Linked DNA regions of Elephas maximus indicus. The protein of the gene in region 4 purifies or fractionates together with the protein of the main gene of each other region. This does not show direct contact. Links are inferred from orthologs where the notes say so. Each region holds a gene or a part of one and is shown on either strand. Other genes may lie near its edges.

Region 1 (7,004 bases), on a different chromosome or scaffold from region 4:
GTTCTTAGTTCTCCCCAGGGAATGTTGCACACACTCCTCCCCCTTGGTGCTGTTCTGAAGATCTCCAAGCACTGGCACAGCCCACAAACCAATCACCAATAGTGGTGCTGGGAGCCAACAGGAGCTCAAAAGGGGCAGGCAGCTCAACCCCTCCTTCAGGACACCCAGGGAATGTGGCAAGAACACTCAAGGCCTGCCTTAGCCAAGGCCAGGGGAGTTTGTCCTGTTGAGAAGCCATGACCAAAGGCATGCCAGCCACTGCTGGGTGCCCTCAGACCTGTATGGGACTCCCCACCCCATCCTCTTCCCCACCTCCTCCTCTTTCACACCCTAGAGATGGCCTAGTCCCTTTAGCAGGTCACACAAAGTGCCCCTCCCTGTGGAACTGGACCTTGGTAGCTTGAAATAGCACTGACCCCCAGGTGACTGAGTCCCAGCCTAAGCCTTTCCCCCACCCCCAGTCACACGGTCCCAGTTCAGTGCACCCTGACAGACCTGCTTCCCCCTTTCACTTCTGCAAAGTTGGGGTGGGGGCTACAGGCACGATGGAGGAAGGGCTGCAGTGTCCTGCCCCTTCATTCGTTCTGGGAAGTTCCCAGCTCCCCTTCCTTCTCTCTCCTGCCTCTGTTCAGCCCCCCTCACCCTATCCAGCTCCTGTCTGTGGGGGAAACGAAGGAGTGTTTCCAAGCTCCCCCGGCCCCCTCGCGCCCAGAGTAGGGTAGGACAAATGCGGGGGGGGGGGGGGGGAGGGTTCTCCTGAGGACACACGTATGCCTTTCCACCAGCCAAGCCTCTGCCCCTGGCAGCCCCAGCCCCAGCCCCTGGAGGAAGGAAGGTCTGGGAGAAAAGGCAAAGCAGGTGTCTCAGCACCCGCATAGGGCAGGACGGGTGGGGCACCTGAGGGCAGGTCGGGGCAGGCCACCCCCTTCCCAGGCCTGGAAATCATCCCCCTCTGACAAACAGCTGGAACTCCCCCACGCCCCCCTCAGGGTGGCAACTTCTGGGAAGGGGGCTGGGTGGCAGGGGCTGACTCAGCCTGCCAAACCAGGCCGGCCGGGTGGGGGCGTCGGCGCGCACGTGGCAGGGGCGGCGCAGGGGTGGCCGGGGGTTGGGGGCGCTCACTCACTTGGATGGGCGCCGTGCTGAAATGGATCTTCCGGCTCGGGGCCGGGTCCTCTTCCTCCGAGAGCCCCGGGATCTCCACACATCCCGACTCGGGCTCGTAGGGGGGCTCCCCATCCTCCTCGTCCTCTTCGTCCTCTTCCTCCAGGGCACTGCCCCCAGAGTCCTCCCCAAGCCCGCTGTAAGCGCTCACGTCCACCAAGTCGGCTTCGGAGAAGTCCTCCTTCTTGGACTCATCCGCCTCCTCAGGGGCCAAGTCTGGGGCCCGGCCATTGCCGACCCCCTTATCTGTCACAGCCACAGCCACAGCCGCCGACGCCGGCGCCTCGTCGGGGGCCGCTTGGGCCTTCTGCTCCTCGGGCGCGGGGCTGGCTGTGGTTGCCACGGTGCTCCCATTCTCCAGGGCCGCATGGACCGTCACCTCGGCCTGGATCACTTCCCCGGGCGCCGCCTCGGCCTCCGACTCCCCGCTCTCCTCCACCTCCACCGGCTTAATCTTGCGCACCTCCCGGGGCTTGGGGGGCGGCCGGGCGGGGGCGACTCGGTGTTGCGGGGGCTGCTGCCCTCCGGGGCCGCGCTCCTTCTCGGCCGGGGCATCCCCCGACGGGGCGGGCGGTGGCGGCGGTGGCTGGAACACCCGGGAACGCTTACTGACCAGCTTCGAGTTGACCTGCGGAGCCCCGGCGGCCGCGGCCCTGGGGGGCCCGGGCCCACGGTGGAGGCCGGTCCTCAGGTCGGCCTTCTCAAAGACGGCGCTGAGCTGGCTGACCGTCGGCGACACAGCGTCGGCGTCCAGCTTGTCCAGCGCCTCGGTACTGCCGTTGAAGCGCACCACTACGTCCAGCTTCCGATCCTGCAGGCCGGCGCGCTCCTGCCTCAGCAGCCGCCGCGCCGCGGCCTCCTTGTCGCCGCCCGCGGCCGCGGGGACGCTCCGTTCGAACAGCTTCCGCGTCTCCTGCAGCCGGGAGGGCGGATGCGGCGGCGGCGCCGGCTGCGCCGAGGGCGCGGGCTTAGAGTCGAAGCGGCTCACGCGCTCCGACACGCTGGTGCCCAGCTTGAGCAGGGCGCTGTGGTCCACGTTCTCGTTCAGGCTGCTGGCCCGCGGCAGCGACAGGCGAACGCCGCGCTCGGGCGCCCGCGGGGCCTCGGTCGGGCCCGCGCCGCCGCCCGCCTCGCCCGGCGGCCCGGCCGTCGTGCCCATCTGCAGGAACATACTTTTGATGCGGTGGACGTTGGAGCCATATTTCTTGTGGTGGGCTGCCTTAGGTGCCTCGTCCGGCCCGGGCGCGTCGGGCGGCTTCAGCGCCTGGATGCCCGCCTCGTAGGCGCTACGGTGCGGGGAGGCGCTCCGGAGGGGACCCCCGGGCCCCCGCGGCTCTGTCTTCATCATGGTGGGGGGAGCCGGGTTCGCATCCCCCTGCTCCCCGTTCTCCCCCGCCAACAGGCGGGTGGCCAAGTCGGGACCACTGTCCCCCTCCCCCCGAAAAGAAACCCTGAGAGGCCTTTTCTAGGCTCCCCCAAAAACCAAGCTGCCAAAAACAGTTAACCCTGTTTAAGGAAAAAAAAAAAAAAAGGAAAAAATCCCCGGGCGTCCTGTGTGGGTAGCCTTCCCAAATCAAGCTGCCAAAGACAGTCAGACCCTCTTAAAAAGCCCAAGCGGCCTGGTACGGTCGCCCCCACCTAAAATAGAAAAGCGGCGGCCAGGCCGGTGGGACGGCGCGCCCTGTCCAAGCAGCAGCGGCGGCGGCGCCGGCTCACATCCTCCGAGGCGGTGTCAGCGGGGCTGGCAGCCCGGGCGTCCCCCACCCCTGCCGGGGGCCTCGGCTCTCCGGGGGCCGGGCACCCCGGCGCCCATGGCTGCTCCGCCGGCCGGGGCCGCTCCGCCGCCGCGCCTCCCTCCCTCCCTCCCTCCCCCCCGCGCCCCGAGCTCCGGTCTTTCTCTCGCTGTGCCCGAGCGGCGGCTGCCGGAGACCGAGCGGCTGCCCTTCTCGCCGCCGCCGCTGGGGGACTGGCACCTCTGGGTCCTAGAGGGATCGGATTTCCGGGGCCAGAGTCTGTGAGCCCACCCCTTCCCCTACACCCAAATAAATCCCCTCCCCTGCCGGTCCCTCGCCGAAAGCCTTCCGCTGCCCTCAGGCCTTGCTCAATCCTCTGCGACCCTTCCATCCCAGCCTCTGGCTGCGGTTTATCACAACCCACATAACCGCACCCCCATTAAATATTGGGGGTAGGGCAGACCAACCACAGTGGTTTTAGTGGGGCCCCTCTCCACCCCAACGTGAAGGGGGATAGGTAGGAAGGGGCAAAGGATCATTTTCTTCCAGGTCCTTAAGGCTCGCTAGTGTTGTTCAAAGCTGTCATTATCAAAATCACTGGGGCTTGGTAAAAACACAGATTCTGGGCCCTCCCTCAAACTTTGTGAATCAGAAGCTCAGAGAGCGGCCCGGGATTCTGCATTTTACCACTTTTCCTCCTGGGGAATCTTAGGCACTCCGTAATGTCTGAAACCTTGGTACAGTGTTGCTGGCCTTAGGAGGGAGGAGGAGAAGGAATGGAGAAAGAAGGTGGTCCCCATCACCCGAAGGGCAGGAAATCCCGAAAGCTACCCTTTGCCATTCGGAAGTTTGTAGAGGGTGTCCCGGTAGCCTGTCTGCACCCCAGGCTGGAACGGAGGGGTCGCAAACCCCTTCCTCCTACCCCTACAGGAGCACTCGCCTCTCAAGCAGGAAGGGGGAGATGAGGAGGAGGAATTCTAGAGGCCTGTGGCCAAGGTTTACCCAGCGAGAATTCTAACTTGGGTCTCTTATCTAGAGGGTCCTGGCCACTATGTGCATGTGGGGGTGGGGGGGGGGCAACGAGGTCACAATGACCTACACATGCCCTGTCCTGGCAACCCAGAAAACTATTTTGATGTTCCCTCGCAGCCCACACCCCTCTCCCGCCCTAACACTCACACAACAGGGGGCCAGGGCTGCCCTGCACCCCTCCCCAGCTGCCCGGGCGGGGGACGGAGGTGTGCGAAGAGGTACACTCCAAACCAAGACCCCAGAGCCTCGGCTTTGCTCCAGATCCCAGAGACGACTGAACGGAGTGGACCCTAGGACCCAGAGAACAACTCAGGCACAAAGCCTCCCGCCCCCCCAGCTGCTTCCTGCATCTCAGGCTTTCCTGCGGCCTTTGCCTTCTCCCCCGCCCTCTTCCTCTTCGTCCTCTTCCTCCCCGTCCCAATCTTCCACTCTCTGTCCCCTGGTCTGGAAGGGTTGGCGAAGGGACTCTTAGCACCCCACCACTGAAGGGGCGTGTGTGGGTTTTGTGGGATATTAACCCGTTAGCACGTGCAAAGGAGCTCAGTACAGGATTGGGGGTGGGGTGCGGGAAGCCGCCTGGGAACTCTGGATATTGGGATGGGGAGGGGCCAGGAACCACAGGGCTGGATCCTGAGGCTGGTGCTAAGGGGAGGGAAGACTTGGGTTCTGAGCTGGAGAGCCGGAAATGAACCCGGGCTTACCATTGTCATCTGCCTCTTCTTTGCTCGGCTGCCCAGGAAACTGCCCCCTCCCCAATTTTGCACTTCGGGATAGGCAGGGTGAAGAAGCTCTCAGGCTCCCTTCCTTTTTAACCCTTTTTAGAAGACCTCTTATAGGAACAAGCTTTGGGACTTAGGTTTCCAACCTCAAGGTTGGGGCTGGAAACCCCCTCCCATGGCCCTTCAAACCCGCTCTGGAAGTTGGGGGAGGAGAGAGATCTCAACCAGTTGGGATTTGGGGGGTTGGGCAGAGTGTCCTCAGAAGCTCTCGAGTGAGTTGGAGGAGGGCACAGGCCCCTGGGTGTTCTGCCCAGAATCTACCACACCCTTTGTGGTGAGTCATGGTAACTGTTCCCAGCCCAAGGGGTCTGTGCCCATGCCTCTGGCCAGGTGGAGAAGCAACCACCCTCCCCCCCCACCCCACCCCTGGCCCTTCAGAGGGAGGGAGGAGTTGCCAAGGTTCTCAGAGACAAGCCCAGAGACTCTGGGCCCCCGCCCCCCACCAACAACAACAAAAAACACATTTCCAGCAACAGCTTGGAATGAATTGGAAGTACTGGGAAGCCTGGATCCTGAGGCTTCCAAGGATGAAACCCCTTTAAATGCTTTGGGATGCAAGAGGGTGGAGCTGGCCCAGAGCTTGGGTGACTGAGGCAAAGGAGTAGGATGATTATTTCATAGTTTAGCAACACCCCCAGCCAGAATTCCCCAAGAAGCTTTTCTGAGCGATGCTAAACGCTTTCCCAGGGTCAGACACCAAACTGGCTGGCCTGTGAGATAGGTGGAGAATGGGGTGTCACCTTCCCCCATCTCCTCCCTACCTGCCTGGGGCAGTAATCTCATCTCCTGGGAGGGGAACTTCATTTGGGAGGATTTCCATCCAAACTGAAGGGTTTAGACCTAATTTTCATTTCTCATGCTGCAGTCCTCACCTATTTCCTCCAGTTTAGCACCCCAGGATAATTAAACCGTCCTTTCTCTTTACATTGTCCTTTATGGAGGAGGCCTTGAGGGCTAAGCTGCCTGGTGGTCTTCTCTGTTTGGGTGAAAGTTCTTTCTTACCTTTTCCCACAGACAGATGGCAGAGTGAGACCCAAGACTGACCCAGGAGCCAGACTGCCAGGGTTGAAATCCTGACTCCAGCACTTACTTGTTGTGTGACGTGGACAGGTAAGGTGGGTGGGGAAGGAGGTACCTGTGCCACCAAACTTGGTGCCGTGGAGTCAGTTCCGACTCATGGCCACCCCATGTGTTAGAGTATAACTACTTCATAGCATTTTCTTGGCTGTAATTTTACAGAAGTAAGATCACCTTGCTCCCCGCCACCCCCCCGCCCCCGCACTGGCCCCGAGCCACTGGTTGGGTTCTGACCACCAACCTTTAGGTTAGTAGTCAGCTCAAACTGCTTGCAGCCGCCAGGGCTGCCTGCCTGTGCCACCAGCCCTTGCCAAAAAAGCCTGAGTCTTCCTATAGGCAAAGAACTGCCCCCAGCCCTCCTCCAGTAAAGCCCCTCCCTATTTTTCCACGCCCCACCCCCGCCCCTGCCCCGGCCTGATAGAGGCCCTCTGGGAGGGTCCCTTTAGTGCTCTGCCTGGAGGCTTGCTAGTTTCAAACACCAGGTGTGACTGCAGAGGCGGGTGATAAAGGCAGTGAGGGGCCTGATTTGTGATAAGCTCCAAGCCCTCAGCACCCAGGGCTCAGGCCCAGGCTGGGTGCCAAGGTTGGCTTTTCTTCCTAGCCCTGGAGCTTTGAGACAGCCTCTGAAAGTGGCATTTCTATGGCTGGGATCATCTGAGCAGAAGCGAGCCCAGGCCCTGCACTTTGGCAGTGCTGTGGTGATCAGTGGTCCCTGCCCCAACGGCTTTCGTCCATCCATCTTCCCCTGCCAGGGATCTGGGCATCAGCTTAAGATGCCAGAAAGGCGTTCATGTGAGTACACACTCACATGCAGGAGAACTCAAATCCAGGATGCCTTTAGTGGCCTTTGACTGACTCTCTTCACAGGGTAATGAGGAAGACAGACCTGGAGAAGGAAGTGACTTAGCCAGTGGAGAAGAGGAAAGTTGTGAGACTCATAGGGCCTGCCTTGAGTGCTTGCTCCACCCATTAGCTGGGTGACCTTGGGCAAGTCACTTCTCCTCCCGAGGCCTCAGTTCGGAAGCCCTGGTGGTGTAGTGGTTAAGAGTTCAGCTGCTAATCCAAAGGTTAGCAGTTCAAACCCACCAGGCGCTTCTTGGAAACCCTATGGGGCAGTTCTAGTCTGTCCTATAGGGTCACTATGAGTAGGACTTGATGGCAAAGGGTTTGGCTTTTTGGTATGCCTCAGTTTCCTGACAAAGCTCAAATGTGAATGTCT
Region 2 (7,126 bases), on a different chromosome or scaffold from region 4:
TAACTCTCTTTCCTCTCTTCTTAAACTGTACATTTGAGAACGGTTCCAAAGGCGTTTTATAATCTTTGCCACTGTCCACAGGCAATGGTGCAGATGACTTTATCTTACACTCTTTCGTTGATTGAGTCCTCTCATTTGTAGGTGAAGTTTTTCTAAAATAATCCAGAATATTATTGGATTTTGGTGGAGAGAAAACTCTAACTCCAGTCTTCTCTATTGGTGATAAATATTTCGTAATTGTTTTAAAGGAAGATCCATCATCATCTTTCCTTCGCTTTTTGCATGGCTGTAGATTTAAAAGAAGGAAAAGAGGCACTTATTTCAAGAAAAATAATACAAAATATAAATTTAAGACACGGATCTAATATTTAAAGTAATCGGATAAAGAAAGGAAGGCTCCTTTATGTGACGAGCATGATATACTGGAAAGAATATGAACTTTAAAATTAAATCTATATTGAAATCTCAATGTCCCAATGATTTACCTTAAAACTTGTGTGCTTTACTGTATATATATAATTATAAACAAAAAACCAAGCAAGATACCATCAAGTTGATTCTGACTCACGAAGACTTCATGTGTTGCACAGTGGAAGTGTGCTCTATAGAGTTTCCAAGGCTATGACATTTTGGAAGCAGATCGCCAGGCCTCTCTTTCAAGCTGCCTCTGGGTGGGTTCGAAACTCCAATCTTTCAGTTAGTAGTCAAGCGCTTGGCCATTTGCACTGCCCAGGGACTCCTTATATATATTTGTTTACATTAAAAAATTGTTCACATTAAAAAAAATCCAAGCCTACTATACTTATGAGCAAATTCCTAATTCTTCTCAGTCTCTGTTTACTCTATAAACTTTAGATAGCACCTTCCACCTTAAAAATTGTACTGAACACATTACACAAAAATATGTAGTCTGACGATGGTAGGAACTCTACACATATTATATTCCCTTTTTATTATTTTTAGTTAAAAATAAGCACATTACCCTAACTATTGCTAAGAAACAGGGACATAGTCATCAAGCCTAGGATCCCAAAATTTACTAATCAAGTAGAAATTACAGTGCAAGTTCACCAAAAGAACACTTACAAGTCTAGTGTTTTAATTTGCTGTTAAAACCGTTGCTGCCTTTCTTTTACGTTAGTTATTACCTTTACAATATCAAGATGACTATAATGCTAGGCATGTTTAAATTTTTATTGGTTATAAGTCAGTAATTTACATAATAGAAAATAAATATTACCTTATTGGTTACAAAAAGCACCATCAGTCTTTCTTTTTTTTTAATTTTAACTTCCCTCAGTTCATTAGTTAGAATAAATTTAATAAAATAACAACGAAATCCTTTAAAAGGTAAGTAATGAATAGAGGAGTTAGGCTTCTAGAAAATTAAAATTATATAAAGCTATCATGATTTAAAGTGTAGTGCTGGAGCAGGAATAGGTAGGCAGGTCAATGGAATTGATTAGAACACCTGAAATAGACACAAGTATATATTTAAGAACTTAGAAAATAAAGTAGTGACAAAAGAAGGAGTATTTAATAAATGGTATTGAGACAACTTCTAACCATTTGGATAAATACGAGGCAAAATAAATTACGGAGGGATTAAATCTGTATATGTTAAAAAGAAATCATAAACATTTTAGAAGAAAATACTGATGAGTATTTACATAACCCTGAGATGGTATAAGAGGCACTATACTATATGCTCTGGAGTCAGGCAGATCTAAGTTTGAGTGCTGGCTCTGACATCTTCTAATGTGAGACCTTAAACAAACTAAACTTTTAAATCTTCTTCTCTCATCTGTAGAATAGAAATAATAATATTTCATTACAGGGTTGACGTTAAGCAAAATAATGTTTATAAAGCCTTTCCCTTTACCATACTTAACAGTGAATATCACTATTACGAAATAGGCTCTCTAAGCAGGCCACCAAGAGCAGAAACCATAACCCGAAGACTGATAAAAGTGACCACACAAAAAGCCAAGAACTGTGTAATTCAAGTATCAGAAGACCTTCTTCATACCTAGATAATCTGAGTAACTGCCTTGACCTAGCAAACAAGTATCCCCCTTAAATGAGTGTACATCTGGGTTCATTCAAGACACCAGAGCACATACTTCAGTTTGAATGCTAACACGAGATGAAAAGTTGTAAAGATGTAATGTCTGTCTTAAAATGCTGGCCTGCTACTTTCTGGTATTAGAATCTTCTTTCAAAATATGCTTGGAGCTCTGGTGCTGCATTGGTTAAGAGCTAGGCTGCTAATCAAAAGGTCGGCAGTTGGAATTCACCAGCGGCTTCTTGGAAACCCTATGGGGCAGTTCTACTCTGTCCTATAGGGTCACTATGAGTTGGGATCGACTAGACGGCAACAGGTTTGGTTTATAAAGAATGCTTAGAGTATTTCACTGAAACTTGACGAACAAACATCAGCACGGCACACTGGGTCTTCCAACTGCAGTATATTAAGATCTAGAGCCATGGGTAATAGATTTACCCTGCTTGATTCTGGCAGTGACACTGTAAGTGGCATTCCCAGAACAGGGAGGATAAAATAGGTGGACTTAAAGCTCTTTTTCAACTCAAATTCTAGGATTCCATATCATGAACCCAGAACCTGACCATGGGATCCTCCGTGACATCTCACAAGTCCAAAACATCACAGTCCACCAATATTTCAGAATCTGGGCACTGGCCATGGTATCTTAAGTCCTAACTTACTGCAATTCTCTAAACATCTCACAATACCAGGGTTTGTCGGAATTCATCACGACTCTAAGAACGACACACTCCAGCAACTGTTCCACACGATGTCATTCCTGGGGGGCCTCTCCGTGTTCCTCCTTTCCCCTCTGAGATGCAAAGTCGGGATTACCACCACCCGTTTTCCAACAGCCGGAGAACTCGACAGACACTCGATCTCACCTCAATCTCGTAGTCCTTGACTGGAGGGGGAGCAGCCGCCGCCGCCATGGCAAGGACCCCTACCATGTTCGCCGCTTCCCGGTGCCCCTGCTCCTAGGACCTTGCGCGGACCGGGTCGGCCAGCGTCTCGGCCATGGAGGCGGCCCGCTCCTGGAGGAGCGCGAAGTTGGGCCGCGGGGTCCGTCTCGGATTCCCCTGCGCCCACCGGCCCGGAGCGGGCTCGGAGGCCGGGCCCAGCTCAGCCAAGTCGAACGCGGGAAGGAGCGCTGAGAAAGCGCGGGCGGCGAGGCACTCGGGGCGCGGCCGGTAGGCGCGGGGTGACCCCTCCGGGCGGACGACCCAGGCCGAGTGCTCGGGACCGGAGCCGGGGCAGGGAAAGCAGACCGAACGCAGACCGGACCGGAGGGCTTCCCAAGAAGTTCTCGTCGATTGGGTTTTCGCGCCGTCCTGAGCGGAGGGGGCGGAGCTTAGGGTTGCTCTGGAAGCCTGCGCGGACGGTGAGCTGAATGGGCCAAAACACTGTCGTCGGCGAGTCGGCGGGAGGCAGGGTCATTGTATCACGGAATGTAAAGCCAGTGGGGAGTGTGCAAATTCTTCCTTCTGGTGTCCAGTAGCCCGGCTTCAGATGAGAATGTGGTTGAACGAAGGTACCTAGTCAGTTGGTGGCAGAATTAAAACCCTGAACTCTTGACCCGGACTAGCCCCTTCTTTAAATTGGAAATTTGAAAATTACAGAAAAAAAAAATTGATTATATTCCTACTACTCAGATAAAATGTTAATATTTTGGTATGCGTCCCACATCAGATATACTATTCTGGGCCCGACATTTCGACTTTATACCCCTAATTTGAAGAGGCGTTTCTTTCTGTGGATTTCGTCCTCGTGAGCAGTCCAGGAGCCCGAGCTCACCGCCTCAACTGGTTGACGTGTGTTCAGTGCTCGCAGGTACCAGTAGTTTGCTGGTTTGTAGTGATGGTAACCTAGTGCGTCATTTGCATTGTTTTCATGGACTTGTTTAGCCTTTACTTTTCTGTTATGTTAATGTTGAAGTGCCTACACATAGTGTATGTTCTACTCCGTCCTATGGGTCGCTATGAGTCGGAATGGACTCGAGGGCACTGGGTTGGGTTAGTGTATGTTTATTTCTTTTGAGAGGATAGTTTTAACTGCAAAATAAGTAAGAGCGGATACAAAGCAGGTAAAGGGACTTAACTAATAATGGGAAGCCACCTTGTTAGATCGGGTTATGCAAAGTGATTTTAAATACTGAAGTAATTGTACCCATCTTTATGGTTTTTGGTGCTGTCTTAGAGTGAGTTAGGAACCCTGGTGGCTGAGCCCACCAGTTGCTCAGCAGGAGAAAGATGTAGCACTCTGTTTCTGTAAAGATTTACAACCTTGGAAACCCTATGGGGGCGATTCTACTCTGTCTTGTAGGGTGGCTGTGAATTGAAATCCACTCCACAGCGGTGAGCTACAAACAAAGAAAACAAACTTGTTGCCCTCTACTCAATTCCGACTCATAGTGACCCTATAGGATGGAGTAGTATTGCCCCACAGTGTTTCCGAAGAGCAGCTGGTCGATTCAAACTACCATCCTTTTGGCTAGCATCCAGATGCTTAACCACTGCACCACCAGAGTTCCTACTTATAAGCACATATGCATTTTCCCCAATAAAATTAGTAAGAATTACTTTTCCCTTGAATATTAGTACCAAATAAGGTTTGTCAGGAGGGGAAGATTGTACTACTTTCAGTCTTCTGAGAATATACCGTTTTGTTGTTGTTTTTTTTTCTAATAACTCACGTAGTATAGATACATTGCCCTGAAAAAGGAGGAGGAGAAGAAGGAGAAAATGTGGAAGAGGAAGAAAAAGAAGACACACAAAAAAATTACAGAGCAAACTATAAATCTCTTTTGACTTGCACTCCCCAACTCGATCTCCTCCCCAGAGGTAATCACTCCTAGCTATTTGGTATGTAGCAATGTAATATTTTTTTTAATACTTACGTACAGGTATCCATAGGAAATCTTTAGCATGGTTTTTATTTATATAAATAGTATCACTGTAAATATTCCTCGGCAATTTGTTTTTTTCACACACCATTGTTTGAGAGCTATCTATGATGCATGTAGATCTAATTCATCTCCTTTCATTCGTAAGTATGCCATCCAATTATACACTACATTTTATCTGTTTCCTTAGTGATGAATATTTAGGTTGTGTCCAGTTTTCTGTTATTCAAACATTCTTGCCCATGTCTCCTTGAGTACGTGTAATGATTCTCTAGGATAGACATCTAGAAGTGAAGTTGGTGGGGTATAAAGTATGGGAATGGGAATTCCAGAACACTTAATTGTGCTCATGAGGAACCTTTACAGAGATCAAGAGGCAGTTGTTTGGACAGAACAAGGAGATACTGATTGGTTTAAAGTCAGGCAAGGTGTGCATCAGGGCTGTATTCTTTCACCATACCTATTCGATCTGTATGCTGAGCAAATAATACAAGAAACTGGACTATATGAAGAAGAATGGGGCATCAGGATTGGAGGAAGCCTCATTAACAACCTGCGTTATGCAGATGACACAATCTTCCTTGCTGAAAGTGAAGAGGACTTGAAGCACTTACTAATGAAGATCAAAGACCACAGCCTTCAGTATGGATTGCACCTCAACATAAAGAAAACAAAAATCCTCACAACTGGACCAATGAGCAACATCATGATAAACGGAGAAAAGATTGAAGTTGTCAGGGATTTCATTTTACTTGGATCTACAGTCAACAGCCATGGAAGCAGCAGTCAAGAAATCAAAAGACACATTGCATTGGGCAAATCTGCTGCAAAGGACCTCTGTAAAGTGTTGAAGAGCAAAGATGTCACCCTGAAGACTAAGGTGCGCCTGACCCAACCCATGGTATTTTCAATTGCATCATATGCATGTGAAAGCTGGACAGTGAATAAGGAAGACTGAAGAAGAGTTGACGCCTTTGAATTGTGGTGTTGGCAAAGAATATCGAATATATCAAGGACTGCCAAAAGAATGAACAAATCTGTCTTGGAAGAAGTACAACCAGAATGCTCATTAGAGGCAAGGATGGCGAGACTGTGTCTTCCATACTTTGGACATGTTGTCAGGAGGGATCAGTCCCTGGAGAATGACGTCATGCTTGGCAGAGTACAGGGTCAGCAGAAAACAGGAAGACCCTCAACGAGGTGGATTGACACAGTGGCTGCAACAATGAGCTCAAGCATAACAACAATTATAAGGATGGCTCAGGATGGGGCAGTGTTTTGTTCTGTTGTGCATAGGGTTGCTATGAGTCAGAACGAACTCGATGGCACCTAACAACAACAACAAGGTATGTCTCTAGTGCTTTTTTTTTTAATAATTTATTTTATTTTTGGTTCTTTGAGAATATTCATAGCAAAACATACACTTACTCAACAGTTTCTATATGTACAATTCAGTGACGTTGATTACATTCTTTCAGCTGTGCAACCGCTCTCATCCTCCTTTTCTGAGTTTTTCTTCCCCCATTAACACAAACTCATTGCCCCCTAATCTTCCTATCTGACCTTTCCAATTGCTGTTGTCAATTTGATCCCATATAGCTAGATCTGAAAAGAGCACAACGCTCAAGCAGACATTCTTTATTATTTAAGGTAAACTTCTGTTTGGTTTTTAGGGGCTAGTTTTGGTTTCGGTTTATGTTTCAAAGATTATCTCAGGACAATAGTTTCAGGGATTCATCCAGCCTCCGTGGCTCCAGAAAGTATGGATTCCATGAGAATTTGAAATTCTGTTCTACATTTCCCTCCTCTTGATCAGGAATCTTCTAAAGAACCTTTGATCAAGATGTTTAGTAATGGTAACCAGGCACCATCCAGTTCTTCTGGTTTCATGGCAGAGATGGCAGTTGTTCATTGAGGCAGTTAGCCACACATCCATTTCCTCCTTCTATTCCTGACTCTCCTTCTTCCTCTGTTGCTCCGTGCAAATAGAAAGCAACTGTGCCTTGGATCTCTGGCACTTTTTATTCTTCTGAATTATGAAGCATTTATACTGAGTTTATTTTTATAAATGTGGTTATTATTTTACATAACCCTTAATTAGGAGCTCCTGGCATTTATTAATTTTAAATTAAATGAATTGTCATGTTTCTATAGTCATTTAGAGTTTATAATATACT
Region 3 (7,699 bases), on a different chromosome or scaffold from region 4:
ATGTCTGTATACTCATGAGTTTGGGAGTGGGGAGAATCACTGATGAGAGAATTGCTCAGAAAGTCCTGAAGTTTAAAACGCTTTTGACCAGCTTTGGCTTGGGAAGGTGGGGCTGCTCCTAGAACTGGATGTGAATAACTCTTTGCAAGCAATAGCAGTAAGTAGGTTCCATCTACAGGTTCCAGGATGTGGAACACAAACAGAAAAAAAATGCTGAAGCAGCTTGCACAGCTGCTTCACAAACTTCTGCAAGGCCAATCCTGGCTTCAAGATGGAGCATTCGAGGTTTATTTTTGCTTGTTTCTTGTTCTTTTTTTTTTTTTTTTTAAGAGCCTTCTGTTGAGCTGTGTGCGTGTGTGTGTGTGTGTGTGTGTGTGTGTGTGTTTCTTTTCTATTTGGGGGCCTCATGGGAAGGAGCTTCTGAGTTCTTCCTTCTGAACTCTCACTATGTTCCCTTTAAGTTCCTTTTCTTTTATGATGTTGTAAGTTACATTGAGCCCCATCACATCTTCTTTACTGTAAAAATATTAAAAGGCTGTTTCCAAGTGGGACGGCTAACGAAGTTCTAATTATTGCAGACATATTTTTGAGATGTAAAAAAAAATTTAAATGATAAGTCTTGGAGGCGAGTGAGGAATAAAATGGATGTAAACATTTACATGGGATGCATTAGAATTCTGCTGTGTGTATTGTCTTTTGGTTGAAACAAATTATGAACAGTGACTAATAATAAAAAGTCAATACTCAATGATTTAAAATCTGCTTCCTTCTTCAAGTAAGTTAGAAGCCTTGGGTGAATTCTTATTCCAGAGCTTTGAGCTAAACTTAGTGACCTGGTACTGTTTCTTTTATAATCAGAAATCTCACCAGGAGAGGAATTTGAACAATTTTAAAACTACTAGGTATTAGTAATGAAAAAGTCTTAAGTTCAGTTGGAAATTTCAACCATAACATGATTAATTACATGCTCATCTTCTCCACATATGTGAATTCTCAAGGCAAAAAAAAAAAAAAGGTGAAATGTGTATTAGGGGTGGTCATGGGTTTTAATCGTATGTTTCTATTTGTGAATTATTCAGGTTTATTTGTGACCAGGAAGAGGAGGGCCGGATCAGCCAAAATGAGTTTTTATTTTATGGTCTATTTTATATGAACTCTTTTCTGTAGAAGTGAGAGTGGTTGGAGGTTGGAAGCTTCAGATTTTCTATTACTCTGATGAGTCTATTATTCTGATTCCCTTGATTGGGAAGGGGAAGGGCGTAGGCCTTGGCAATTACCTAGTTTGTGCAGAAGTGCCCTTTGGAACTATTTGATAAGCAATATTTCTATAGTCTTTCCTTTTATATGGTTTAAATTCATCCTTGTTTTTAATATTAAACTTAATACCTTCATCTACATGTAATTAGATGAAAATACAAAAGCTACAGTAGAAAAGCCTAGCCAGTAATGGACTCCAGAAATTTACTCAGCAATGCAATGAACAATATTTAGATTTGAACCTCAGCCCTGAAAAGCCGAATTCATTTCTATTCCATAGTTTTCCACAGTTCAGTTGTCCCTATTTTTGAAAAATACAGAAATGTTCATAGGGTAAATTTTCTTCAAACCCTGAAGCCAGGTAAACGCTGCCTGTTTGTCTGAACTAAAATAAGACTAAATTTGTTCAACCTGTGGTAGAATAAGGAATTCAGGCAAAAGTTGACGTTGTGATCATAAAAAGAGTGGGAGCTAGATACAGCTAAGTGATTGTAGTATCATATGGCTTCTCTACCAGAATCTGATAGACAAGAAAGACAAGAACTTTCTTTTTCCAGATTTTCTTCCCATTTTGCAGTGAAGATTAGGAAAAGCTCTGGGGTGGGTAGGTGTGTGTGTGTGTGTGTGTGTGTGTGTGTGTGTGTCCTGAGATGATGAGAGCGCACAGCTGCTGCAGGAAGGACACAGAGCAGGGAGGACTTCTAATGACTGCTCTGCTTCTTGGCTTGATCCAAACTGATTTTTGTAATGATGAACCTGCAGTGAGGGCAGATGGATTTTTGCACAAAAAAATCCCAGATGAATTTATTTTTAGGGTTAGTCTCAGCTGTTCACCATTTCCAGAAATTGTAGTTACATAACCCTTGGCAGTCATAATGCACACTGCCTTGAACTGAAAGACACATGAATATGTGACCTTAGCAGCAAAGTATGAAATGTTAATGGTAATATATGACTTGAAAAGAAAACTCTATATCAACTGGTTGTCACTACTGAACTGGAAATCTGGATCTTAAATCATGGGGACCTTTAAAGGGAGCGGCATTATATACATCATCCCCTGAAACATCCTGCTGGTGGCCTTTTTTTTTTTTTTCTTTTGGAAGAGGTATTACTCTGAATTAATCCTTTAGCCCACTATCCCGTCAATGAGAAAACAAGTCAAAGCAAAAAAACCCAACCATTTACCAGTGCTATTCCCCAGCAGGAATTCAAATTCTGGTCCTGGGACAAGATCTTTTCCCTTCAGGTGATCAAACAATAAAGAATTTGTGCCCATGAGATGTGGAAAAGGTAATATGTAACAATATCTCCAGAAACAGGCTTTTAGAAACATTTATTCTGAACACATTTTTATTCTAACTGCTGCCTTTGCCCCTTGGTCAGATTACTTCTGTGTCTATACTGGTGCCTATTCCTTATACACCAGTATTCTTGCCGGAAGAATTAAGCACTAAGAGGGGTATGTGACTAGTCTGAGTAGCTTTCTTGAAAGCAAGTTAACAGTAGACAGGGGTGGGTGGTGGTGGTGGTGGTGGTGAGCCAGCAAGTCAACAATACAAGAACTTTCTTCGCTTTTCACCAGGCTCTCAGAGATGAATTTTAATTAATTAAAATGAGACAAAACAAATGAAGCTTAATGGTGATTTGAATTTTGGTATATTCAAAATGAAGAGAAATTAGTCACCATCCTTTTACAGAAGTAATAATTGGTACAGGGTCAGAGTCTTTGCAAGAGCCAAATTTTGTTTTGGAATTTAAAATATCTCCAAATATCACATAGTAGAGAAGGAAACAATGCACTGTTAGATTTCAGCCTTTCTTGTATTAGGCTTAAAATTAAAATATTTTAGATGGTTGGCCTGAACTAGGCAAGGTGAAGCAACGGATAATAGGTAATGCCATCTTTGCCATGTATTCAAAGTTCAAGACATTATTGGTTTTCTGCTGTTAAATTCCTTACAAGTTCTTTGAAGATTCATGGATACCTGTGTAAGAGGGGAAGGTCTAAATATCTAAGAAGTCCAGAAGGCATCCTAGGAAAAAATTTTTTTTTATAATTTATTTTTGTTCTTGAGAATATACACAACAAAGCATACACCAACAGTTTCTACATGTATAATTCAGTGACATTGATAGCATTCTTCAAGTTGTGCAACCATTCTCACCCTCCTTTTCTGAGTTGTTCCTCTGTTAACATAAACTCACTGCCCCATAAGGCTCCTATCTAAACTTTCAAGTTGTTGTTTCAATTTGATCCCATATAAAGAGGTCTTAAAAGAGCATAATGCTCAAGGCATTCTTTACTAGTTAAGCTAAACTATTGTTTTAAGAAGATTCCAGGGAATATTTTTGGCTTAAAGATTATCTTAGGACAATGGTTTTGGGGGTTTATCCAGCCTCCATGGCTCCAGAAAGTCTGGATTCTGTGAGACATCCTAGAAAAATTTAAGAGGAACAAGAAGAGTGCTTTTTGAAAAATCTAGTGAATCTTAAATTTGGAAATTCAGAATTAGAATGGCTACTATAAATTTCGATTTCGACTCATAGCTGGGGTCTGGGTTTTTTACTATAAATTTCGACTATATGTTTAGTGCTTTGTAAGCATTATTCATTAAGTCGTCATAATAACTATCAAGCAGATATTCATCTGTATTTCACAGCTTAAGAACCAGAAACTTAGATCAAGTAACTTACACAAGGGTATAGCTCAAATAAGTGATAGAGCTGAGATTTGAAATCAGGCTGATTCCACATTTGGCCCATTGGTCACAAAACTATCATCACTGTAGGAACTAAAACAAAACGATAACTTTTAAAGATTTTCCGACTTAGCATTGTAAATAATCAATGGCTCACAGACTGTATTACTCTTTGAGGGAGAGAACAGACTTCTGGTAATTTTGCTACAAGAGGAGGAAAGGGAATTTAGATATTGCTGGAAGATGAGTGAACACATTATTTTGGGTCGAATTTGCTGACGAAGGTCGTAAGCCATCTCCAGTAAGGAAGAGAAAGGGCCTCGTTAAGGTATTTTCAACAGTTCTTCCAAGGGCTTTGCAAGTGAGGGTGACAGGCCGGTTTTAAACTAGAAAGGAAACGTTTTAGAGAGCTAACTTACAGGAGCCACCCTCGGCGGACTGCAGCGTCCAGTGACAACTGACAGGTGCAGGCACTAAGGAGGCGGGGATAGCTGTAAATAGCCCTTCCTGCGCCTCAGTCCTCCAAACCCAGCGCGGCCCGCTGCAGAGGCTCAACCCTGCGGCGGCGCCGTACTCCGCCCGCCGAGCCCTCGGCCGGCGGCTCCGCCACACCGGGGCCACCCGGGGCCCGCAGCTACGCAGGTCCGGCGGGGCTGCGGGAGGGGGCGGGACCAGGGGCGGGGTCAGGGCGGGACCGCGGCTCACGGGGGCGGGGCCTCCGCTGCTCGCGCGCGCCGCTGAGGCCCGGCGCGCCGTCGGCCCCGCCGGGCGTCCCTGTGTGGTCTCTGCTGCTGATGGGGGAGGTGGAGCCGGCGCCCGCGGGCCCGCTGGAGCCCCTGGAGCCGCCCGAAGCGCCCGTGAGCCGCTGGCCGGGAGGAATTCGGGTCCTGAAGGTGAGGCGGGCGAGCCGAGGGGGGAGTGAGGGAAGGAGGAGGCCGCCCCCGCCCGGCGCGAAGGCCGAGGCAGCTGGCCACCCCCGCCCGCGGCAGTCAGTCAGCTTGGCGGTCGGCCGCCCCTCAGCCGGCCGCGGCCACAGTGGTCCCCGCCGAGGCCTCCGCGCGGCGCCCGCGCCCGCGCCCGCGCCCCCGCCCCCGCCCGCGCCCGCGCCCGCGCCCCCGCCCAGGCCTCGGCCGCCTCGGTCCTCGGCGCTGCCCATCCCTGGCCCCGCGCCACCCGCCTCGCAGGCCCCCGCCTCGCAGGCCCCCGCCTCCGCTGGCTGTCTGCTGGGCCGCCGTCGCCCACCGGCCTCTGTGGGGCCCCGGGCCGGCCCTGCCTCCCTCGGCCGCCTCGCCGCTGGCCCGAGCGCGGGGCTGGAAGCACGCAGGGCTCTCTCCCCAGACACCTGAAGACATCACCCCAGCGGGAGGATGGCGGCGATGATTGGCCGCGCGCTGCGGTGTGCTCGGGGCTGCGCGGGGCGGAGCGGGTAGACTCTGCCCTCGGGGTTCACAAGTGAAGTTGCCACCCGGCTCCTCGCTCTGTAGACGTCGGCGAGGAAGTACGACCCGCCTCGTCTGGGGAGGAAACCTACGGAGGAGCTTAATTAGGGGGAATCGCTGGGCGTGCTGCGGGAGGAAGGAGGGGCTGGACCTAAAGGGGGCATTCCTGATTGCAGGAGTGGGGCTAGCGATCCGGGGAGACTGTGATGGGGGAGCAGTTATGCAACAGGCAGCAAGCGGGGCTTTTTGGCAGGAATTAGGGGAGTAGGAGGAAATGAAAGCAGATGCAGGCAAGTGGAGCCTTGGAGGTGATGACAAGAAGTTTAAGTGCATATGGAATGTAGGGTGGGGAGGGGCAGTGAAGATGCTTAGAAGGAGGGATTGTGTAGGCTCAGGGGAGTCTTCTACTAGCCTTTGAAATAGTTGGAGAGAAACTTTCTGTATGTCAAATAAGTCAATTAGATGTCCTTCTGGAGGTGGAATGGAATTCATTCTGGAGTTCTAGAAGAGAAGTCGATAGGATTTGAAACTTGCCAGGGAGAAGGAAGAGAGAAAAGAAAATTTACAAGATTTGTTGTGTCAAAAATACCTTGCAAAAGAATTAAAGTATACAATGTTAAAAATGCATTAAGTCATAGTAGTTAATTGGGATTGAGTTTGAGCAGTATGCACTTGTTATTAACATTATTAGTAGGCCATCGCAAAGATGGATTAGAAGGATCTAATGAATCCATGAAACAACATAAACTAGAACTCTGTAAAATATTTAAAAAAGAAAAAAATTCTGCCACTACCTCTCACTCTTAATGCAGGGACTTAAAGTAATAACCTTTCATAGATTATCTCCAATTTTTGCATGACCCTTCTATATATTTATTATAATTTATATAACCATAGGTTGTAAATGTAATTACCCAGAGGTTTTTGGATATTTATTTAAAACTGAAATCACAAAAATGTAAATTGTGAATTAACTCTATTAAAAAATGTTTTTTAACTTCACTCGGCTTATCGGGAAATTGCAGGTCTGAGAGATAGGCAATGCCTTCTGGCCTAGAAGGTAAACACCCTTGCTTTTTTTTTTTTTAATAACTTTTTTGGGGGGTGGGGGATGGGGTGAGTTGTGAGAGGGAAGGAACTGAGAAATGAGAACCTTTATTGAAGACAGTCTAACCCTTCTTCCCTGAGATTCCAATCAGGGGACCATTAGAAAGATTCCAGAAACTGATGGTAATTACAATACTGAGATGGTGTGGGAGGCAGAGTCTTTAAGACCTTTGCATCCTTACTTTATTACATATAAAAAGACCAAACCCCTTGCTGTCAAGTCAATTCTGACTCATAGCAACTCCATAGGACAGAGTGGAACTGCCCGATAGAGTTTCTAAGGCAGTATGTGATCTTTAAGGAAGCAGATTGCCACATCTTTCTCCTGCAGCTGACCTTTTGGTTAGCAGCCGAGCCTTAACCACTGTACCACCAGGGCTCATTTATTGCATATAGTCAACAGTTTAAATAATCCTTGCAAATAATTGGCCCCTTATGGAGGATAGGTGGTATATGTTCTACAACAAAATTTCCCTTCAGTAACCAAGTGGTTGAATTTTGTGCCTAGTGAAACTGGAAAAGAATATTTAAGTAGAAGACTTCTAATTGGGAAGAAAGTCATAATTTCCCACATGTTCACTAAGGACCCTTTGAAAACAGCTTTTCAGTCTGTTTTGTAACTTTTTTACATTTAACAGATCGTGAACATCATTATTGTCAAATTATATATGTAGATCTTCATAAAAAGGCGAATATAACTAAAGTCAGACTATATCTAGGTGCATCTATGTGGGGTATAGGAAAATTTGATTCACAGTCTGTCCCCAGATTTCATTTAGAAAATTGCTATTTAGAATGTATTCTTTTACAGTTATAGTTGGAGTATAAGTATGATATTTTTAATACTCTTAAAAATATTAAGAGTACCTTTGAATTTTTAAAATATTCCAGATGTTTCCTATGATTTTAGGATTATGTTTTATTTAATTTACTCAGTCTATAGAAGCTGTGAAGTTACAACTGATTACTGGTAGTCAGTAAATGCCCTGAAATTTGTTTTTTCAATAATTTAAATTTTTTGTAAGAATAAGTGTGCGTGGTTTTAAAAAATCAATACCAAAAAGATTTTAAGTACTGAAATATTGTTCTCTCCCCATCCCAGCCAACTCTTCTTAGCCCATTCCAAAATATTCTTTAACATGTATATTCCCAGAGATGAACCCATCTTGTTTTAAAAGTTTCAAATGGAGGAAC
Region 4 (6,904 bases):
GCCACTGAGACGATTCCAGGTGTTTTAGGGCGGAATCACTTTCTGTAGGATTTTCAGTGGCTGTGACCTTTCAGAAGTAGACCACCAGGACATTCTTCCAAGGTGCCCCGGGGGGGTTCTAACTGCCAACCTTCCTTAGTAGCCCAGTACTAAACCTTCTGCACCACACAGAGACTCCGTTTCCTGTCCTACCCGTAATCACACAATCCAATCCCCCAGTGGTAACTGACAGTCAGTATCCTTCCAGGCTTTTAAAATGCAGTATTTCCTTTGTGGAAATGGGTTCGTACTATACTGACTTGCTTTTTTGACTTCTGGGCACCTTTCCTTCTTAATAGGTACATACCTAGCTTATCTCTTCAACAGCTGTGTCTTGACATGTTACCATAATCTGTCAATTCTCCACTGATGGACACTTAAATTTTTTTCACTTTCTCACACTGATAAGATTCCTACAATAAACACCCTTGCACAAGTAGAGAAAGGTATACACACATGTATCTCTGCAGAAGAGGTTTTCAGAAGAGAAATTACTGGGCAATGGTAACGTACATTTATAACTCTGACGCAGAATAGCAGGCACGATGGCTCCATTTATAGTGAAAAATCCTGTATGTCAGGTACACAAAGAGGTAAAGAACAGTGATTCTCAATCAGGGTAATTTGGACTGCCAGGGGACATCTGAAAATGTCTGGAGACATTTTTGGTTGTCCCAAGTGTGGGGGTGCTACTAGCATTGCGCAGAGGCCAAGGATGATGGTAAATATCCTACAACGTACAGGACAGTTTCCCACTACAAAAAAGGATCCGGCCCAAGATGTCAGTAATACTCATGCTGAGAAATCCTAGTTTAGAATCATATATCGCATTACTCATGGTAGCTTTCTTTGAGTGGAGGGCAGCTATCGTTTATACCTTTTTTATTATTTGTAGGTTTCTTGCAATGCACGTGCACTAGTTTTAAAAACACTTCTCAGAACAAACAAAAATTCTCTCTCAGGTAGAGATAAAATATCAATCTCTGTGGCTTCTCACACTGCTTTTATACATTGTGGACAAGCTCTGAAAGCAGCTGACAAGGCCCCCGAATCTTCTCTTCTGCAGGCTAATCTTAGTTTCAAGTCAGTTCACCAATCTGGTTACTATACTTATTGAGAACAAGGTGCTCAATTCTCAGCCCCAAACGCTAGGTCTGTACTCTGACAAGCAGTCTGGAACTATCACCTCCCTCATTCTACCTGTGTGGGCTCACACTGGGATTAAAACAGTTTTCCACCTGTACGGCAGTTAACTTAAGTCTTTCACATCTTGACTTTCACAGTTGCCTCCTACATCTAAACGAAGGGCACTAAGAGGCCTCTTTAACAACCCTTACTCCCCTATGGAGTGTACCATTCCAGTATCTGGAAGAGCACCACCATCTATTGGTTCCTCCAGTCGTCAAGCCTTTCTCTCCATTCCAAACCCAAACCAAACCCAGTGCCATCGAGTCGATTCCGACTCATAGCGACCCTATAGGACAAAGTAGAATTGCCCCATAGAGTTTCCAAGGAGTGCCTGGCAGATTTGAATTGCCAGCCCTTTGGTTAGCAGCCATAGCACTTAACCACTACGCCACCAGGGTTTCCTTCTCTTGATTAGTGTTGCCTAAATACTTAACCACCTAGATTCCCTGGGAAAAATCATCTGGTCAATTACATACCACGACTTCAGGCTGTCCAGTTGCAACACAATTAAGTTACAATTCTGGGTTACATTTTAGTTGGGAGGAGACAGTGTCACCACCTACGATCACCTTACACCGTGATTTCAGGGGATTTAGATTCTTAGTAATTTCACTCAATTCAACAAATATCCAATGAGTACTTTAGACACCGTCCTGATCAAAGAGATCAATAAAACAAAGAGTGGAACTGCCTCAGAAAACTTTATGCCTCACACCCTTTTCCTGGGGTTACCTTACTGCAGGCACCTTTTGTCCTGACTATTAAACACCCACTGATTTCAACCTGCAGAACGACATATCATGGTGGGTTTTGTCAAGAAAGCCTGGGTCTTACTCCTACATTTTCTCAAACCTTTGCATACTTCTGAATTCAAATTAAGTGCTGGACAAATAGTTAACGTACCATGTCGCCACTACTGCATACACTATACCTGCAGGCAAACACCTGAAATAGGTCTTCTATTATTCCCTGCATTGCTGGAAAAAATAGCAAGAACTCTTACGCTTACCCAAAATAAAAACGAATTCACGAAGGCATAAAGCATACGCAGAATGATTAGATAATTCTTTCACCTTGGATAATAAATCATAAAAATAGAAAAGAAAGATTCAGGGATGTACGATGAAGATGAAGAAACGCTGAAAACGAAATTAAACCGGCATTTCCCCACCAACACCCGGCCGGCCGCTGCCCCTCACTGGGAAGCGAGCTCCGGCAGCAGAGGTGGCGGGGCTCCCCGTGCGGACCCCACCGCGGAAGCCGGGGTCGTCGGCGCCCCGCCGCCCGTCACGCCCCGCCGGGTCCCCGCGCTCGCCGCCCGCCCGCCCACCGGGAAGCCCCGCAGGCCTCGGCCAGAGCGCCTCGGGGAAGGCAGGGCAGGGGAGGCGGCTGGCCAGGGGACGCGCCCACCGCCTCGCGGGCCCGATCCTCCGGGAGAAGGGGCGACCGGCCGCCCCGGGTTCCAGGGCGCGCGCCCCGGGGGCCCCGAGTCTGCGTCCGCGCCGCCCCCGCCCCTTCCTCAAGCCGTTAGCGCCGCGGCCCCACCTCTCACCGCCGCTCGCCCGGGCCCGCGCGCCCCGCCCCGCTCCCCGCCGGCCGCGGCCTGAGGCATCTGCTGGCGGGAGGCGGCCCCGGGCCGGGCAGTCGGGTCCGAGAGGCCGAGGACCCGGGCTCCCATACCTGCACTTTCCGCCGCCCGGCCGTGTTCTGCCGGTGATGGGCCGCCATCTTGCATGTTGACACTCCGACGTCACTTCCGGAAATGGCGCGGGCCGAGCGGATGTCCTGCCCCTTCCCCTCGGGCGGGGGTTGGTGGCGGCGGCTGTGCGTGCGGCGGCGGCGGCCGTGCGTGCGGCGGCGGCTGTGCGTGAGGCGGCGGCGGAAGGGCGCGCGGCGGCGGCGGCCGTGCGTGCGGCGGCGGCGGCCGTGCGTGCGGCGGCGGCGGCCGTGCGTGCGGCGGCGGCGGCCGTGCGTGCGGCGGCGGCGGCCGTGCGTGCGGCGGCGGCGGCCGTGCGTGCGGCGGCGGCGGCCGTGCGTGCGGCGGCGGCGGCCGTGCGTGCGGCGGCGGCGGCCGTGCGTGCGGCGGCGGCGGCGGCGGCGGCCGTGCGTGAGGCGGCGGCGGCCGTGCGTGAGGCGGCGGCGGCGGCTCCGCGCCGTGGCCGGGCTCGGGGCGCGCGGCGGTCTCGTGGAAGCAGAGCCTTCCTGTGGGCACAGCGCCGGCGGAGGACCACCCGCTTCTCCGAGCCGAGGCAGCAAGCGCATTCCGCCGTGGGGCCCCACACCCCGGCTTGCACGCTCCCTGGGGCGGTCCTCGGGCAGAGCGCTGAGGCCAGGTAGGGGGCGAGACTCCTCGGCAGCCAGGGAGCCGACTGCTTGGCCGCGAAGGAGGCACCTAGACGTTCGCAGAACAACGACCTGGCCTGGGAGGAGAGAAGCGGCCGCCCTTGGGAAGGAGGCAGGCCGGTCTTCAGGCGAACAGGCGTCCCGTCCCACAAAGGAGAGAAAAGGCGCCCCAGGGACGTCTGCAGAGCCCGAGGGAGCCGGGGCCGGCTCTGGAACCTCGTCCCGGTCACCTCTTCTGGGTCAAAGTGTAGCTTCAGGTCTTCCGGACACCGATGACAGGTGCCGAGGGTGGCGGAGCTCTCTCTCGGAAAGTGGACCCCGTGGAACTGCTCCGTCCACTGAGTTCCGTGCGGGCTCCGCCAGGCGCGTGTGGCCAGCTCACTGAGACGTGATGTAACTCAAGTACACACTCAATTTTGAAGACAATGCAAAAGAAGAATGTGAAATACCTCTTTCATAATTTTTTATATTGATCACGTGTTGAAATATTAATTTCTATATATTGGGTTAAATAGCATGTGTTACTAAAATTTTTTACATTTGTAAATGTGACTATTGGGTCGCTATGAGTCGGAATTGACTGAATGGCGGTGTTTTTTTTTTAATTTTTTGACTAGAGTGTTTAAAATAACACGTGGCTCATGTTATATTTTTGTTGCAGAACCTGTTGCCATTGAGTCTGTTCTCATAGTGGCTCTATAGACAGGGTAGAACTGCCCTATGAGGTTTCCAAGGCTGTAATATTGGACTAAGTGACCCCATCAGGCAGCATGTCTTAATGTTTACTTTGCCTGGAAGGCGAGACGGCCTTCATGGTCAGTTCAGGTTCAGAGGCTAAATTGGCCAGTTGTTCAAGAACAGGGTAGAAGTGCCCATAGGGTTTTTAAGGCTGTAGTCTTTATGGTCCCTGGAGCTGCTGGTGGCTTTGAACTGCTGACTTTTCAGTAAACAGTCAAATGCTTAATCACTGTGCCACCAGGACTTCTTCTCTATTGCATAGTGCTAATGTATAAATAATGCTTAGGGAACCTCCTGGCAAATGCCTTTTTAAAAAATCGGTAAAGAAATCTGAATTAGAGGAGCAGAAACTGATGACAGAAAGCCTGTTAGGCAAAATTGGCGGTGATAACTTGTAGATAAATTACATGGACTGCATTTTATTACAGACTCATTGATTCATTTATCCATGTATACATTCAAAACATTTATTAGCATCTATTAAGTGCCCAGCCCTGTATTTGGTGCTGGGGGTTCAGTGGTGAGTGCACATTAGCCATAGGACTTAGAGTTCCATGGTGAGACAGGGATTAATTAAACAAACGTATAAATGAATGTGGAGATAAGTACTGAAGAAAGAGCTGTACAGCAGGAAGGGATCCTTGAGCCAGGATCTAAAGGCTGTAGTTCACTAGACAAGGAGAGGGAACAGTCTGAGCAAAGATCTTGTGGCAGAAGGGAGCATGGAACATTTCAAGAACTAAAGGCCAAGTCTTGGAGTACAGAGAGCAACCAAGGGGAAAAAACAAAAACACCCAAACCCTTACTACTTGGAGTTGATTCAAACTTACAGTGACCCCATGTGTGTCAGAGTAGAACTGCTCTCGGTAGGGTTTTCAATGGCTGTAATTTTATGGAGTAGATTGCCAGGCCTTCACTCTGTGGTTGCTGGGCAGATCAAAGAGGAGCACAGAGACCACACCCAGCAGGGTCTTCTAAGCCAATGGGAAGCTGTTGAAAGGACTTAAGAGGGGAGGGACATGATCTGCATTTTTTTTTCTTAATAAAAATGTATTGAGTAGCCATGATATGCCAGGCACTGTGCAGGTACATTACTCTCCACAACGTGCTGGTACCTGTTGGAAATGGATTCCTGTGTTGTTGTAGCCCCCCCGCCCCGCCCCTTGGGGCTGGCCCTGAAGAACACTGAAGTTGTAAAATTGTTTTAATGGGCAGAATGTCCAGGAGTGTATCTTGATGTTCACTTTGCCTGGAAGGAGAGATGGCCTTGGGTAGTAATTCACAGTCAATTCATGGACAGAGGCTAAATCATTTGGCCAGCTGTTCAAGGACACGGAAGAACAAGCATGACAAACTGGTGACAAGGAAGACTTGGGAAAGTATATGGTAACTGGCCTCTTAGAATGAACCTTAAGAGCTGTACAGATGAAACAAACTGCTCTGAGGATGAAACTTGGCTTCCTTCAGGATCAGTGCTTACTCAGTGGAATCATGAACAAAATGGCGATGCTATCAGGACTGAAAGCTATGCATGGGATCATCAAGCCATTGCTGAGTGTTCAAGTTGCCAACAGCAGTGACCAGTCCCGAGTTGCTGGTTTACCCCATAGCCTTGAAGGGTGAGCCAGCCACTCGGGGGGCAAGTTGATTCCATTGGCCCTCCCTCATCATTGAGGAAGTAGCTATCTGTCCTCTCCAGGTGACACTTAACTCTAGATTTTTCCATTGGCCCTCTATCATTGTTGAGGAAGTAGCTATCTGTCCGCTCTGAGTGACGCTTACGCTAGATTTTGATTTCCTTCCCATGCTCCCTGTACTTCTAGCAGCACCTGAAATACATCTACTTAACACTGAGATGTGCTGTAACTGTAAAATACTCCTGAATGTTGAAGACTTAGTATAAAAATAAGAATGTAACATGTCGATAATCTTTATATTGATTACATGTTAAAATGACAACATTTTCTATTTATTGGGCTCTGTATCGCCATCTGGGTGTTTACTAAATGATTTATACACTGTCATAATATCTGATATATTGCATCTGACCGAGAAATTCACTCTACGGTGAAAGAAGTAATGCAATGGACTCTTGCCCATGCGATTCTTTGGTCTGATTATGTGCTCTATCACCCACGTGTCTGTCAGTTTGTCATACTGTGGGGGCTTGTGTGTTGCTGTGACACTGGAAGTTATGCCCCTGGTATTCAGATACTAGCAGGGTCACTCGTGGAGGACAGGTTTCAGCTGAGCTTCCAGCTTAAGACACTACGAAGAAGGACCTGGCAGTCTACTTCTGAAAACCATTAGCCAGTGAAAACCTTATGAATAGCAGCAGAACATTGTCTGATACAGTGCTGGAAGATGAGCCCCCCAGGTTGGAAGGCACTCAAAAGATGACTGGGGAAGAGCTGCCTCCTCAAAGTAGAGTCAGCCTTAATGACGTGGATGGAATAAAGCTTTCGGGACCTTCATATGCTGATGTGGCAAGACTCAAAATGAGAAGAAACAGCTGCAAACATTCATTAATAATCAGAACCTGGAATGTACGAAGTATGAATCTAGGAAAATTGGAAATTGTCAAAAATGAAATGGA

Evidence for each region.
Region 1: the proteins of WDR48 (region 4) and PPP1R9B purify together in Homo sapiens (affinity purification with mass spectrometry; 3 studies listed by BioGRID and IntAct, with this or other methods). This does not show direct contact. The link is inferred for Elephas maximus indicus from reciprocal best matches to the Homo sapiens genes WDR48 and PPP1R9B.
Region 2: the proteins of WDR48 (region 4) and ATAD5 purify together in Homo sapiens (affinity purification with western blotting; 3 studies listed by BioGRID). This does not show direct contact. The link is inferred for Elephas maximus indicus from reciprocal best matches to the Homo sapiens genes WDR48 and ATAD5.
Region 3: the proteins of WDR48 (region 4) and PHLPP2 purify together in Homo sapiens (affinity purification with mass spectrometry; 5 studies listed by BioGRID and IntAct, with this or other methods). This does not show direct contact. The link is inferred for Elephas maximus indicus from reciprocal best matches to the Homo sapiens genes WDR48 and PHLPP2.

The regions. Positions count from the first base shown.
Region 1 is NC_064837.1:43,471,318-43,478,321, reverse strand, and holds the start of PPP1R9B (neurabin-2), read right to left. Parts: upstream 3,007-7,004; 5' UTR 2,513-3,006; coding exon 1,127-2,512; intron 1-1,126. UniProt on the Homo sapiens protein: Seems to act as a scaffold protein in multiple signaling pathways. Modulates excitatory synaptic transmission and dendritic spine morphology. Binds to actin filaments (F-actin) and shows cross-linking activity. Binds along the sides of the F-actin.
Region 2 is NC_064837.1:26,696,704-26,703,829, reverse strand, and holds the start of ATAD5 (ATPase family AAA domain-containing protein 5), read right to left. Parts: upstream 3,017-7,126; 5' UTR 2,998-3,016; coding exon 2,932-2,997; intron 287-2,931; coding exon 1-286. UniProt on the Homo sapiens protein: Has an important role in DNA replication and in maintaining genome integrity during replication stress.
Region 3 is NC_064839.1:38,713,101-38,720,799, forward strand, and holds the start of PHLPP2 (PH domain leucine-rich repeat-containing protein phosphatase 2), read left to right. Parts: upstream 1-4,698; 5' UTR 4,699-4,753; coding exon 4,754-4,852; intron 4,853-7,699. UniProt on the Homo sapiens protein: Protein phosphatase involved in regulation of Akt and PKC signaling.
Region 4 is NC_064845.1:1,148,772-1,155,675, forward strand, and holds the start of WDR48 (WD repeat-containing protein 48), read right to left. Parts: upstream 3,001-6,904; 5' UTR 2,956-3,000; coding exon of another isoform or gene 2,908-2,955; intron 1-2,907. UniProt on the Homo sapiens protein: Regulator of deubiquitinating complexes, which acts as a strong activator of USP1, USP12 and USP46. Enhances the USP1-mediated deubiquitination of FANCD2; USP1 being almost inactive by itself.